4 linked regions of the Saccharomyces cerevisiae S288C genome follow. Changing the gene in region 4 together with the main gene of any one other region gives a genetic interaction. Each region holds a gene or a part of one and is shown on either strand. Other genes may lie near its edges.

Evidence for each region.
Region 1: mutations in MRS1 (region 4) and ECM19 together harm fitness more than expected from each alone (negative genetic interaction), as found in Saccharomyces cerevisiae (one large-scale study listed by BioGRID).
Region 2: mutations in MRS1 (region 4) and PAM16 together harm fitness less than expected from each alone (positive genetic interaction), as found in Saccharomyces cerevisiae (one large-scale study listed by BioGRID).
Region 3: mutations in MRS1 (region 4) and IPP1 together harm fitness more than expected from each alone (negative genetic interaction), as found in Saccharomyces cerevisiae (one large-scale study listed by BioGRID).

The regions. Positions count from the first base shown.
Region 1 is NC_001144.5:901,271-903,985, reverse strand, and holds ECM19 (Ecm19p), read right to left. Parts: upstream 921-2,715; coding exon 582-920; downstream 1-581. Other genes in the region: CCW14 (Ccw14p), read right to left, coding at 1-262; STE23 (metalloendopeptidase), read left to right, coding at 1,326-2,715. UniProt on the Saccharomyces cerevisiae protein: May be involved in cell wall organization and biogenesis.
Region 2 is NC_001142.9:225,726-228,297, forward strand, and holds PAM16 (import motor complex subunit PAM16), read left to right. Parts: upstream 1-1,601; coding exon 1,602-2,051; downstream 2,052-2,572. Other genes in the region: SET4 (Set4p), read left to right, coding at 1-1,012. UniProt on the Saccharomyces cerevisiae protein: Essential component of the PAM complex, a complex required for the translocation of transit peptide-containing proteins from the inner membrane into the mitochondrial matrix in an ATP-dependent manner.
Region 3 is NC_001134.8:256,612-259,572, reverse strand, and holds IPP1 (inorganic diphosphatase IPP1), read left to right. Parts: upstream 1-1,597; coding exon 1,598-2,461; downstream 2,462-2,961. Other genes in the region: HHT1 (histone H3), read right to left, coding at 2,832-2,961.
Region 4 is NC_001141.2:395,461-398,885, forward strand, and holds MRS1 (Mrs1p), read left to right. Parts: upstream 1-1,833; coding exon 1,834-2,925; downstream 2,926-3,425. Other genes in the region: YIR021W-A (uncharacterized protein), read left to right, coding at 3,054-3,266; signal peptidase complex catalytic subunit SEC11, read left to right, coding at 3,273-3,425. UniProt on the Saccharomyces cerevisiae protein: Function in mitochondrial RNA splicing in the excision of mitochondrial group I introns aI5 beta from COX1 and bI3 from COB transcripts and thus would be involved in obtaining the correct structure of the intron, to allow the RNA catalyzed reactions to occur.

The sequences.
Region 1 (2,715 bases), on a different chromosome or scaffold from region 4:
CATTTTGTTCGGAACAAGAACTCTTGAAAGCAGAATAAGCAGCATCAGCGTCATTGTTTGGGCAGATGGAGTCTAGACATTTCTTGACGGCGGAGTTTTCGTGTTCACAGTAACAGGTGACTTGATTCAAAGAGTCACATGTGGAAGAGGATTTGCCGACTTGCGCAACACAGGCCAATAAACAAGCTGGAGGTGTTGCTAAGACTTCCTTCGACAACAATGCCAAAGAAACGACTGAAGATAATAAAGTGGTGGCACGCATGATAATATATAACGAGTGTTGAACGAGTGTAGTAGTGCTGTGAGCTTTGACCCTGTGTGTATTAACAACTGGCGAAATCTATTTATCATCCCTTTGTTTATAAGTTCGAGAGTGTTTATAAACGGTGAAAAATTCGTGAAAAATTAACGGAAAAATTGTAAAAAAGAAATAATGGGTCCTAATGCATGTGGTGCATGGGTCCAATGCTTCTATAAATAGTAATTTTCCGGGTAATAGGTTTTTGTAACGTTATAATGGCTTTACTATTGATGCTATATACAGGAAAAGAAAGTATAGAGGTATTTTCTAGTACGCTTCCTTACTGTTGTGGTGGAGTAGGAGGTGTAGGTGGTGTAGGTGGTGCAGCTGGTGTGGATGATAAAGACGGCGTGACCTTTAACAGATTTCCGTCCTCGTCGTATTCTGGGATGGGAATGTCCGTTCTCAAGTTTCCATCCTTACGCAATCTATCGATAACAATGGGCTCGAAAAATCTCGTGCCCGTGTAGACTCCCACAAGGCATGCGATACCTATAGTGACCATATCTAAAGTGTTCTTTCGCATATTGCACTGGACTTGACGTTTCTTGTGTTTGTTACTTTTGTCAGTTGAATGACTGAATAACACTACAATTGTTGTATTTTTCAGCCAATCCATTTCTTCATCGCGTTTCCCCTAGTTTATGCGGAAAAGATAGAAGAAGCGCACAGGCAAAATATGATGTAATACAATCAATTGTGGCCAAAAATACAAGAGAAGGGGATGACTGTAGCTGTATTGTCTCTATTCTTTTCAAGGGGTTGTTGATGTACCGTTGCTGAAGGGTTCGCTGTACTATTTAACACCCTTTGGGCTTTCTAGCTTATTGTTTAAGCAGCTTTTATTGGTGGCGTACATACTAAATTGTAAAGGCGCGCGCCGGTCTGTTAATGATGTTGAAATTTTCATTTCGAGGACTTCGCCCTTTTCTTCCTGAATGAATCAGAGAAAGTGAAATCAAATAGTAAGTCAGAACCAACCATTCGGAAGACCTCATTCTTGCTCATTTTGATATTGCTCTGTATGGGCGTATCTCTTTTAGCTTCTTCTTCTGCATTTGTAACTAAACCACTCCTCACTCAATTGGTTCACCTCTCACCTATCAGTCTCAATTTCACCGTAAGACGCTTCAAGCCATTCACGTGCTTATCACGCTATTACACAACAAATCCTTATAATATGACATCCAATTTTAAGACATTCAATCTGGACTTTTTAAAGCCGGATTTAGACGAAAGATCGTATCGGTTTATTGAGCTACCTAATAAGCTGAAGGCTCTGTTGATCCAGGACCCAAAAGCAGATAAAGCAGCAGCGTCGCTAGACGTCAATATTGGCGCCTTTGAAGATCCAAAGAACCTACCTGGATTGGCGCATTTCTGCGAGCATCTTTTATTCATGGGCTCTGAGAAATTTCCAGACGAAAACGAATACTCGAGCTATTTAAGCAAGCACGGTGGTTCATCCAATGCCTACACAGCATCGCAAAACACAAATTATTTTTTTGAGGTTAATCACCAACATTTATTTGGTGCGCTAGACAGGTTTTCAGGGTTTTTCTCTTGTCCTCTTTTCAACAAGGACTCTACTGATAAAGAGATCAACGCCGTTAACAGCGAAAACAAAAAGAACTTACAGAATGATATTTGGAGAATTTACCAATTAGACAAGTCTTTGACCAATACAAAACATCCATATCACAAATTTTCTACAGGAAACATCGAAACTTTGGGCACATTGCCAAAGGAAAATGGACTAAATGTTAGAGATGAACTGTTAAAATTCCATAAGAATTTTTACTCCGCTAACCTAATGAAGCTATGTATTCTTGGTAGAGAAGACCTTGATACTCTCTCTGATTGGACTTATGATCTCTTCAAGGATGTAGCCAATAACGGTCGTGAAGTACCCCTTTATGCGGAACCTATTATGCAGCCTGAGCATTTGCAAAAAATAATTCAAGTCCGTCCTGTGAAAGATTTGAAAAAACTAGAAATCTCTTTCACTGTCCCTGATATGGAGGAACATTGGGAGTCCAAGCCACCGAGGATATTAAGTCATTTAATCGGCCATGAAGGGTCCGGTTCATTACTAGCACATTTGAAAAAATTGGGCTGGGCCAATGAGCTATCTGCTGGTGGGCATACTGTGTCCAAAGGAAATGCTTTTTTTGCTGTCGATATAGATTTAACAGACAACGGGTTGACACACTATCGCGATGTTATTGTCTTGATCTTCCAGTATATTGAAATGTTGAAAAACTCACTACCTCAAAAATGGATATTCAATGAACTGCAAGATATCTCTAATGCTACCTTCAAGTTTAAGCAAGCTGGTAGCCCATCTTCCACAGTTTCATCATTGGCAAAATGCTTGGAAAAGGATTACATTCCTGTTAGCAGAATTTTAGCCA
Region 2 (2,572 bases), on a different chromosome or scaffold from region 4:
TAGAAAAATGGGAGATGAGCGATTATTTCAATTTTCATCCATAGTGACAACTTCAGCATCGAACACAAATCAGCATCAACAGTCTGTGAATAACATAGAGGAACAGCCCAAGAAACGTCAACTTCATTATACCGCCCCAACAACTGAAAATAGCAATAGTATACGGAAAAAATTGAGGCAAGAAAAACTGGTAGTATCAAGCCACTTTCTGAAGCCACTACTGAATGAGGTAAGTTCTTCCAATGACACGGAATTCAAAGCAATAACAATATCAGAGTATAAGGACAAATATGTTAAGATGTTTATTGATAACCATTATGATGACGATTGGGTTGTTTGTTCTAACTGGGAAAGCTCAAGGTCAGCTGACATCGAGGTAAGAAAATCATCAAATGAAAGAGATTTTGGAGTCTTCGCTGCAGATTCTTGTGTTAAAGGTGAGCTAATTCAAGAATATTTGGGCAAAATTGATTTTCAAAAAAATTATCAGACAGATCCAAATAATGACTATCGTTTGATGGGAACGACAAAACCTAAAGTACTTTTTCATCCACATTGGCCTTTATATATAGACTCTCGAGAAACAGGCGGATTAACAAGATACATAAGACGGAGTTGTGAGCCCAATGTGGAACTAGTAACGGTAAGACCGCTTGACGAAAAACCAAGAGGAGATAATGATTGTAGAGTTAAATTTGTTTTAAGGGCTATAAGAGATATTCGTAAGGGAGAAGAGATAAGCGTAGAATGGCAATGGGATTTGAGAAATCCTATTTGGGAGATAATAAATGCATCTAAAGATTTGGATTCCCTACCGGATCCCGACAAGTTCTGGTTGATGGGGTCAATAAAGACTATTTTAACAAATTGTGATTGTGCATGTGGGTACTTGGGCCATAATTGTCCAATAACTAAAATCAAAAACTTTTCTGAAGAATTCATGAGGAATACGAAGGAATCCCTATCTAATAAATCTTACTTTAATACAATAATGCACAACTGTAAGCCATAAACGAAATTTTAAAATTAATAGTATTCATTTTAATCTTTTTTGAAAGCTTAATTTTATCATCATAATTTTTCTTCCAAAACTTCAATCTTGGTATTTTTTTTCGCATTGGTCTTCATTTTTTTTCTTTTGTTTTTAGCTTTAATGTTGAAAGCGTGAATATCAAAACACTTTTATAATAAATCACCACTTTGTAACTATAGAGAACAATTCATGCTTTATTTATAGATGCCACGATTAAGCATCAATCATTAGTTGAGAGGATCCTTAACGTTAAAATCCACCGCACTTTTCCTTTCAAAAAGCTGCATTGTTTCCATAATTCATTTCATGGCAGGTTAATGACTTATTTGATATGAAGAGTGAGGTTCTTATCAAATGAAATTCCTACATATGAATTTTTTAAAAGAGAGTTTTTCGTTTTACGATATTTATTTACTTCATCATCGTTTATCATTTTTCACGTAGCAAATTTTGAAGCTTCAACTTATAACTCATTTGCATCCGATTCACATATTTCAGCTGACTATAAATTTGGCAACAGCTTCGTGACTTGAGCATAAGAAAAACATAGACTTGTTGGATATAAAATATGGCTCACAGGGCTTTCATACAGGTTATAATCACAGGAACTCAAGTTTTTGGAAAAGCATTCGCCGAGGCGTATAGACAAGCGGCTTCACAATCAGTGAAACAAGGTGCTACAAATGCATCTAGAAGGGGAACAGGAAAAGGCGAATATGGTGGTATTACGTTGGATGAGAGTTGTAAAATTTTAAATATTGAAGAATCCAAGGGCGATTTAAACATGGACAAGATTAATAACAGGTTTAACTATCTATTTGAGGTTAACGATAAAGAAAAAGGTGGAAGCTTCTACTTACAGAGCAAAGTTTATCGAGCAGCAGAAAGGTTAAAATGGGAACTGGCTCAGAGAGAAAAAAATGCGAAGGCGAAAGCAGGGGACGCTTCAACAGCGAAACCTCCTCCGAATTCAACAAATTCATCTGGTGCAGATAATAGTGCAAGCAGCAATCAGTAGTCAAGGAAGCCTCCATCATTACGTCACAAGTGTTATCGAAAGCATGCAGCAGTGCATATATTTTCCTAGTTGGTTGCTTCCTGTACGTTAGGAATCTTCAACCACCATCCTTGTATTTAGTTAATATTAGTATATGTACCAAAGTAAATATACTCAGATGCCATCTCGATATACGCACCGTACACGAAAATGAAATTAAAAAAAAAATGTTGGAGCACAAGCAAGGCAGCATCAGAACGTACCGTCAGTTGGTACCAAGACAAGTCCATCCCCGTAGGCACTACAAATTATGGGAATGAGAAAGTATACAAAATATAAACTGTCTTATCATGAAGAAGAGTCGCTTAGGAATTTAAACTTTCAAATCGCATTACGCAATTCTCTAAAAACGCGAACCTTTCCCTGATATGTAATCAGGGAATTTCCTCAGAATAATATTCGATCTAAGAAACCGGAAACGAAATGAAAATTGTTACTACTTTGTTTAGGAGTAGTCAAAGTTCATTCAGCTATGGGTTATG
Region 3 (2,961 bases), on a different chromosome or scaffold from region 4:
TTTAACATGAATAAGCTCAAAGTAAGCCAGAACAATTACCTACAAAGAAGTGATTTCTATAAATTCGAAAGAAACGGCACTGAATGGGAATATATATTTGCATCAAATTCAGCTTGTCTTGATTATAATAATAATACAGCTGTTAATAATGATATAATTTCGTCACTTAATTATTGCATCAGTGATGACAGATATTATGAAACTGCAGCGATGTGTGTGGTTTTGAAATTATCTCAAGATTGCTCTTTTGATGTGAGGCTTCAACGAAGTGGAAATGGGCCATATAAGAATATCTGGGATATGCCTTGCGGAGAATTACAACAACACATTGGTTACAAAAATGGTATATGCTATAATAGTGAAAACACGGTGTTATCGGCAGTAGGTGTAGAACATCGATATCATAAAAGTGTTTCTCGTCTATAAGATAAATTTGTTGGCGGTTATAGTTCGAAAAAGTGTATTGGACATGTTATAGATCAGAAAAACTTGGATAAAAATTGATAAAAGAAAAATGAACCACAATACCTTTACATAGTATTTTAACTCATTATCCTCGTGAAATATATATATATATATGGATATATATGGAACTTTGTTGGAATGAAATTTTAATATCATCTATTTCGCAGCACTCATGTTACTATTATATCACATGCGGTGTAAGAGGATGGCATAAAGATTGAGAAACAGTCATCCAATCTAATGGAATGCACGACACAATAATGAGTGACAACATATAAAAGGAAGTAAGATACAATAATATTATTATGTATAACTATCGATTTCCTTTTGTGGATTCCTATATCCTCGAAAAGAACTTCTAGTATAATCTGTGTACCTAATATTACAGCCTTTGAAAACAATGGAATCCCAACAATTATCTTATTCCCATAATTCTCATATACAAGATACAAGGGAGAAGTAAACAATGGATACAAGGAGAAATATGGCGCTAAAGGCTGATTTAATTGGATTGTTCGATTCGAAGTCGCTCAATAGAATTTGATGGCTCCCTCAGAGTGCGGTTCAAATCATTCGGATACTTTGAAGAAAGGGTAATATATTGTACCTTTGAACATGAGTTCATGAGTTGAAAAAGGTAAAAATAATCTGCTAAAATGATTACTCTTCTCTAAGAATGTGGTCTTCCCCACCCACGTGATAGTAATACATAGGAACCGTTTTACTGAACGCTACATTACCCATCAATATAATATCATGATTTAGCCGCCGAATTTTATGTAACTAAAAGGTTGCGGGACTTTGAAGCCCAGGTAGAAGTGTTTCATTCACAGAAGGAGATGCCAATGTGCTATTATTATCCCTGTGTGGCGCACTATTCAAACGGATTTGACTGTTCTTCAAAATATCGTCATCGCAGACGCTAAGGTTGTTGGGAGAAGCCACAGTCATTAGATACGATAGTCTCATGATGACTTTTTCTCGTTTTTTTTCGACGTTTTAAGGTCGCGTCGAAGTTAGGAAGGTTAGTTCATTTACAACTTGTTTTTGAATACTTACTTTCTTAATCATCTATTTTGATTTGTTGTCCCTTAGGTCTATAGAACAGGATATCCCGCCGCGCAATTTACTAATGACCTACACTACCAGACAAATTGGTGCCAAGAACACCTTGGAATACAAAGTTTATATCGAAAAGGATGGTAAGCCAGTTTCTGCCTTCCACGACATTCCCTTGTACGCTGACAAGGAAAACAACATTTTCAACATGGTTGTTGAAATTCCACGTTGGACCAACGCCAAGTTAGAAATCACCAAGGAAGAAACTTTGAACCCAATCATCCAAGACACCAAGAAGGGCAAGTTGAGATTTGTTAGAAACTGTTTCCCTCACCATGGTTACATTCACAACTATGGTGCTTTCCCACAAACTTGGGAAGACCCAAACGTAAGCCACCCAGAAACTAAGGCAGTTGGTGACAACGATCCAATTGATGTGTTGGAAATTGGTGAAACTATTGCTTACACTGGTCAAGTCAAGCAAGTTAAGGCTCTAGGTATCATGGCTTTATTGGATGAAGGTGAGACCGATTGGAAAGTTATTGCCATTGATATTAACGATCCATTAGCCCCAAAATTGAACGACATTGAGGATGTTGAGAAATACTTCCCAGGTCTGTTGAGGGCTACTAACGAATGGTTCAGAATTTACAAAATCCCAGATGGTAAGCCAGAAAACCAATTTGCCTTCTCCGGTGAAGCTAAGAACAAGAAGTACGCTTTGGATATCATCAAGGAAACACATGACTCCTGGAAACAATTAATTGCTGGTAAGTCTTCTGACAGCAAGGGTATTGATTTGACCAATGTTACTTTGCCTGACACCCCAACCTACTCCAAGGCTGCCTCTGATGCCATCCCACCAGCTTCTCCAAAGGCAGATGCTCCAATTGACAAGTCTATTGACAAGTGGTTCTTCATCTCCGGTTCTGTTTAAAATATTTTGAATTGAAAATGAGACACCTACCACGTATGCGGCTTCAAGTTGTTTAATATGTAGCTATATATCGATTATATAACTGACTCATGAATGAATATCTTCCTGCTGCAATTTTTCTTTAACCACATGGAAAGCCATAAATCTTGCCTCCTACAAGGCCTGGCTTTTTTCGAGGGTATCGCCAGGAAAAACAAATCAATAAATGTAAAACAAATAGAACCCTATTTTTTTTTATTAAAACCTATATTTTTGTAATAAAAAATAACTATTATACAACTGTTAAAGAACCCAGTAAACCTAAATATATTGATTTATATTTTATTGTGTTTTTGTTCGTTTTTTACTAAAACTGATGACAATCAACAAACTATGATCTTTCACCTCTTAATCTTCTAGCCAACTTGATATCCTTCTTTTGGATAGTGACACGCTTGGCGTGAATGGCAGCCAAGTTGGTATCTTCAAATAAAGAGACTAAGTAGGCTTCGACAGATTCT
Region 4 (3,425 bases):
ACCATCACTAATTAAACTTTTCCTATTTTTTGTCTTTACAATATTCATTAGTCTTCATTCGCATTGGGTGTTCTACAGAAATGCTGGGCAAATCTGGAGATGGGTTGATACGCTAGCGTTCCTACTTGTAAGGGAGCAAAGATGTTAGATTTTTCTGTTTTGGAATTTTAGCTTTCTGTCCACCTTAGGTGTATGGCTCGGCTCTCGATGAGAATAGGAAAGTATTCCGCACTAACCGATGGGGGGTTGTTCTTACCGTAAAACCACACTTGAAAGCTATACGTAGTTGGAACCCCAAAACGACGGTATGAAATGAGGGATACATTAGGGGACAAAAAGGACTAGTAATTTCTTTGAAATTTGTAATAATAATTCGAAAAGTTGAGCATCCTTAATCTGACATGGCACACAGATGAAAAGGTGTTGAAAGCACTGTAAAAGAGGTTAAGAAATATCCTCTTTTCAACGAGCTTCATTTTGAGTATAATATGTTTATATTTGTCGCTGGCCCTGAGATGCTCAACTGTAAGTAAAACATCGGATGTGTGGATAAAAAGAACATGGAAAACGAGTGCAGCAACGACTATATTTAAAATAGTATCATTCATAATTCGATAGATGGACTTTTCAGCTACTTGTAAACGGCGAAATTGTGTCTAAGTTGTGAATGAGCTTTTCATTTTCATTTGCGTACCGAAGTGGTAAAACTGACGACCTAAAGTACGATATACGGAATAAAGCAAGTTCTAATACTCTCTGCAGTTTGACCAGTGCTACTTGGCGCTGTTCATTCCAATTAGCCGTAAATTTGTGAAATAGATCCCAAGATAATCTCCGTTTTATTTGCTTCCAAAGAGGTTATCTTTTTAATAGTTGGCATTTTCTAGCTTCTTGGTTGCTATAAGGCATAGTTGAAGTGCAGTGAGAGGAAGAGGGGAACTCACGGAAAGAGACTCCTTATACTTTTGTCAACCGGTGTGTTCCAAAATTCGCTAGTTAAACGTTTTATTAGCAGCGGTCCCATTGAGCCAAAACCCCGCTGAGCGTTGCGACACAATCTGATCATACCACATAATCATTGCAGCGCCTACTTTTTAACTTCTAGCAGCCAAATTGTTATTCAGATTTAGTTGGCGGTACGACTCCTTACAGCAGTAAATTATTCGAATTAGTAACAAACGAGTGATTGGTATGTGGAGATAGGAAACGAAGACTGAGCAGAAGCACCCACGCTAAGTAATTGTATTCTTGAATTGGGAGCCTGAAGAATTATGATCAAGCTCAGCATCTTTCCGTAGCGTCTTCGAGAATTTGTCCTGTGAGCGGAAGGTTGAAAGTTATAAATGATGTCTTATTTTTTTGCATGATCTCCCCAGACCCAGATGTCATCTGTAAAGAATTTAGTAGGACAATTGAAGACGCTGTCTTCCAATTGATTCAGCGAAACCTTTTCTTAAGATCATTCATATTCTTGTCAAAACACAGATCAGCGTCATATTATTCTTGTCTCGACATTAGGCCGTAATTTCGTCGAAGAAAAATGATCTATGTCATTGTAAATATCTACAATTCCAGCTATTTACGATAATCACGTTAGAATCTTTTGAATGAATGTCTTTCGATACTTTTCCACGCTTGAAAGTTCGCATTCTTTTGGCGTTTTGTATCCTTATTATTCCAAACTTTGATCCGTTTCAACAACGGAAAAGGGAAAAATGAAAAAGTGCTGGTAAGTGAAAAATTATGAAAACTCGCTAAACGGCGAAGTTTAGATGTGAGACAAGCAGCAATGGAAGTATAGGTTGGTATTGAATATCTGTGGTTACTCTAAAGATGTCTCCGAAGAATATAACAAGGTCGGTGATCCCGGCTATAGATTTGTATTGCCGCAAAGCAAATTTTAAAACTCTAAAATCATTGTCGATGATCCTAGGTAGTAAAAAAGAATGGTATGACACTAAAAAGGCGCCATTGAGAACCTTTTTGGTCTCTCGATGTGGCATTTTCGAGCAGTTGAGGGGTCGTCTCGTTGAAGATGGCAAAGTCAACTTGTTTAGTGTTTTCCTGACAAACGACTCATTTTCTTTTTGCAAGATGACCGTTGATGATAAGTTCAACACTAGCTTGGTCGATTGGCAAAAAATACCCTTTGACAGTACATTTGCAACTGACAGAAGACAGAATATCAGTTTACTACCTGTTGATACACTGTTTGCAACTGAAAAGATCATATCGATTCTTGGTGTATCTCCTAATATGACGAATCTTGTTTCTATAGAAAGAGAGCGATCAGACCTGGTGGATTTTAATTGTAAACTGCAATCAAACATCCTAGAACACCTACTATACGCGAAATGCCAAGGAGTGTACGTAACTTCTACCAATGAAAAAGCTCGTTTGCTTGCAGCTGTCTGCAATCCTGAATTCATTGACACCTTCTGGTGCGAATTGACTCCCATAAGAGTCTCATTAAAGGAAAACCCTTCCATTTCTGTACCTCGAGAATATCAGATGTACGATCCGGTGGTACGTGCCACTATAAAGGAGGTTGTCACCAAGCGATTACTGCGATCCGCCTTCGATAATGACATCGACCCGCTAATGTGTCTTCATTTGGATAAAGGCTGGAAACTTAAATTCCCCATACTATCCTCGACAACGGGCCTAAACTTCTCCCTGAAGGATTGTCTTTCCCTGGACACAGGAAAAGATGCATCTGATATGACAGAGGTGTTTCTCGCTACTATGGAGTCGAGTAAAGTTCTTCGTACGTATAGCAACCTCGTTGACATTGTGATGAAGGACAATGGTAGGTTGGACTCAGGCGTCCTAAAGCAATTCAACGACTACGTTAAGCAAGAAAAGCTCAATCTACAACATTTTCAGGCCGGTTCCTCAAAGTTTCTCAAAGGCGCAAAGATATAATCCTCTTATATAGCATGTAAATAGAAAGTACGTAAAAAAAAGCTACTATTGACTTTATTCTCCGTGAGGGCGGTTCTTTCTGTAGCTGTTGGTTTTTTCCAGATCTTATGTGACACACCTGCACAACAATGTCATTCTCTGTCAGCTGCAAGACTCCCAAGACCACGAAGCTGCTGGTATCTTCTATTTCAGAGAGCGCTGTTGCTCTTATTATTATTACCATACGTATACTTTTTTCCATTGGCAAAAGCGATTTCAAAAAAATAATCTCCAAGGAAATAAATGGTGCAGAAACAATATACTACAGAAATATACCGGAAAGTAAACCCCAAGGGAGTTAGCACAAGATGAATCTAAGATTTGAATTGCAGAAACTATTGAACGTTTGCTTTTTGTTTGCATCTGCTTACATGTTCTGGCAAGGCTTAGCCATTGCTACTAATAGCGCTTCTCCGATCGTGGTGGTGCTTTCAGGCTCCATGGAACCAGCTTTCCAAAGG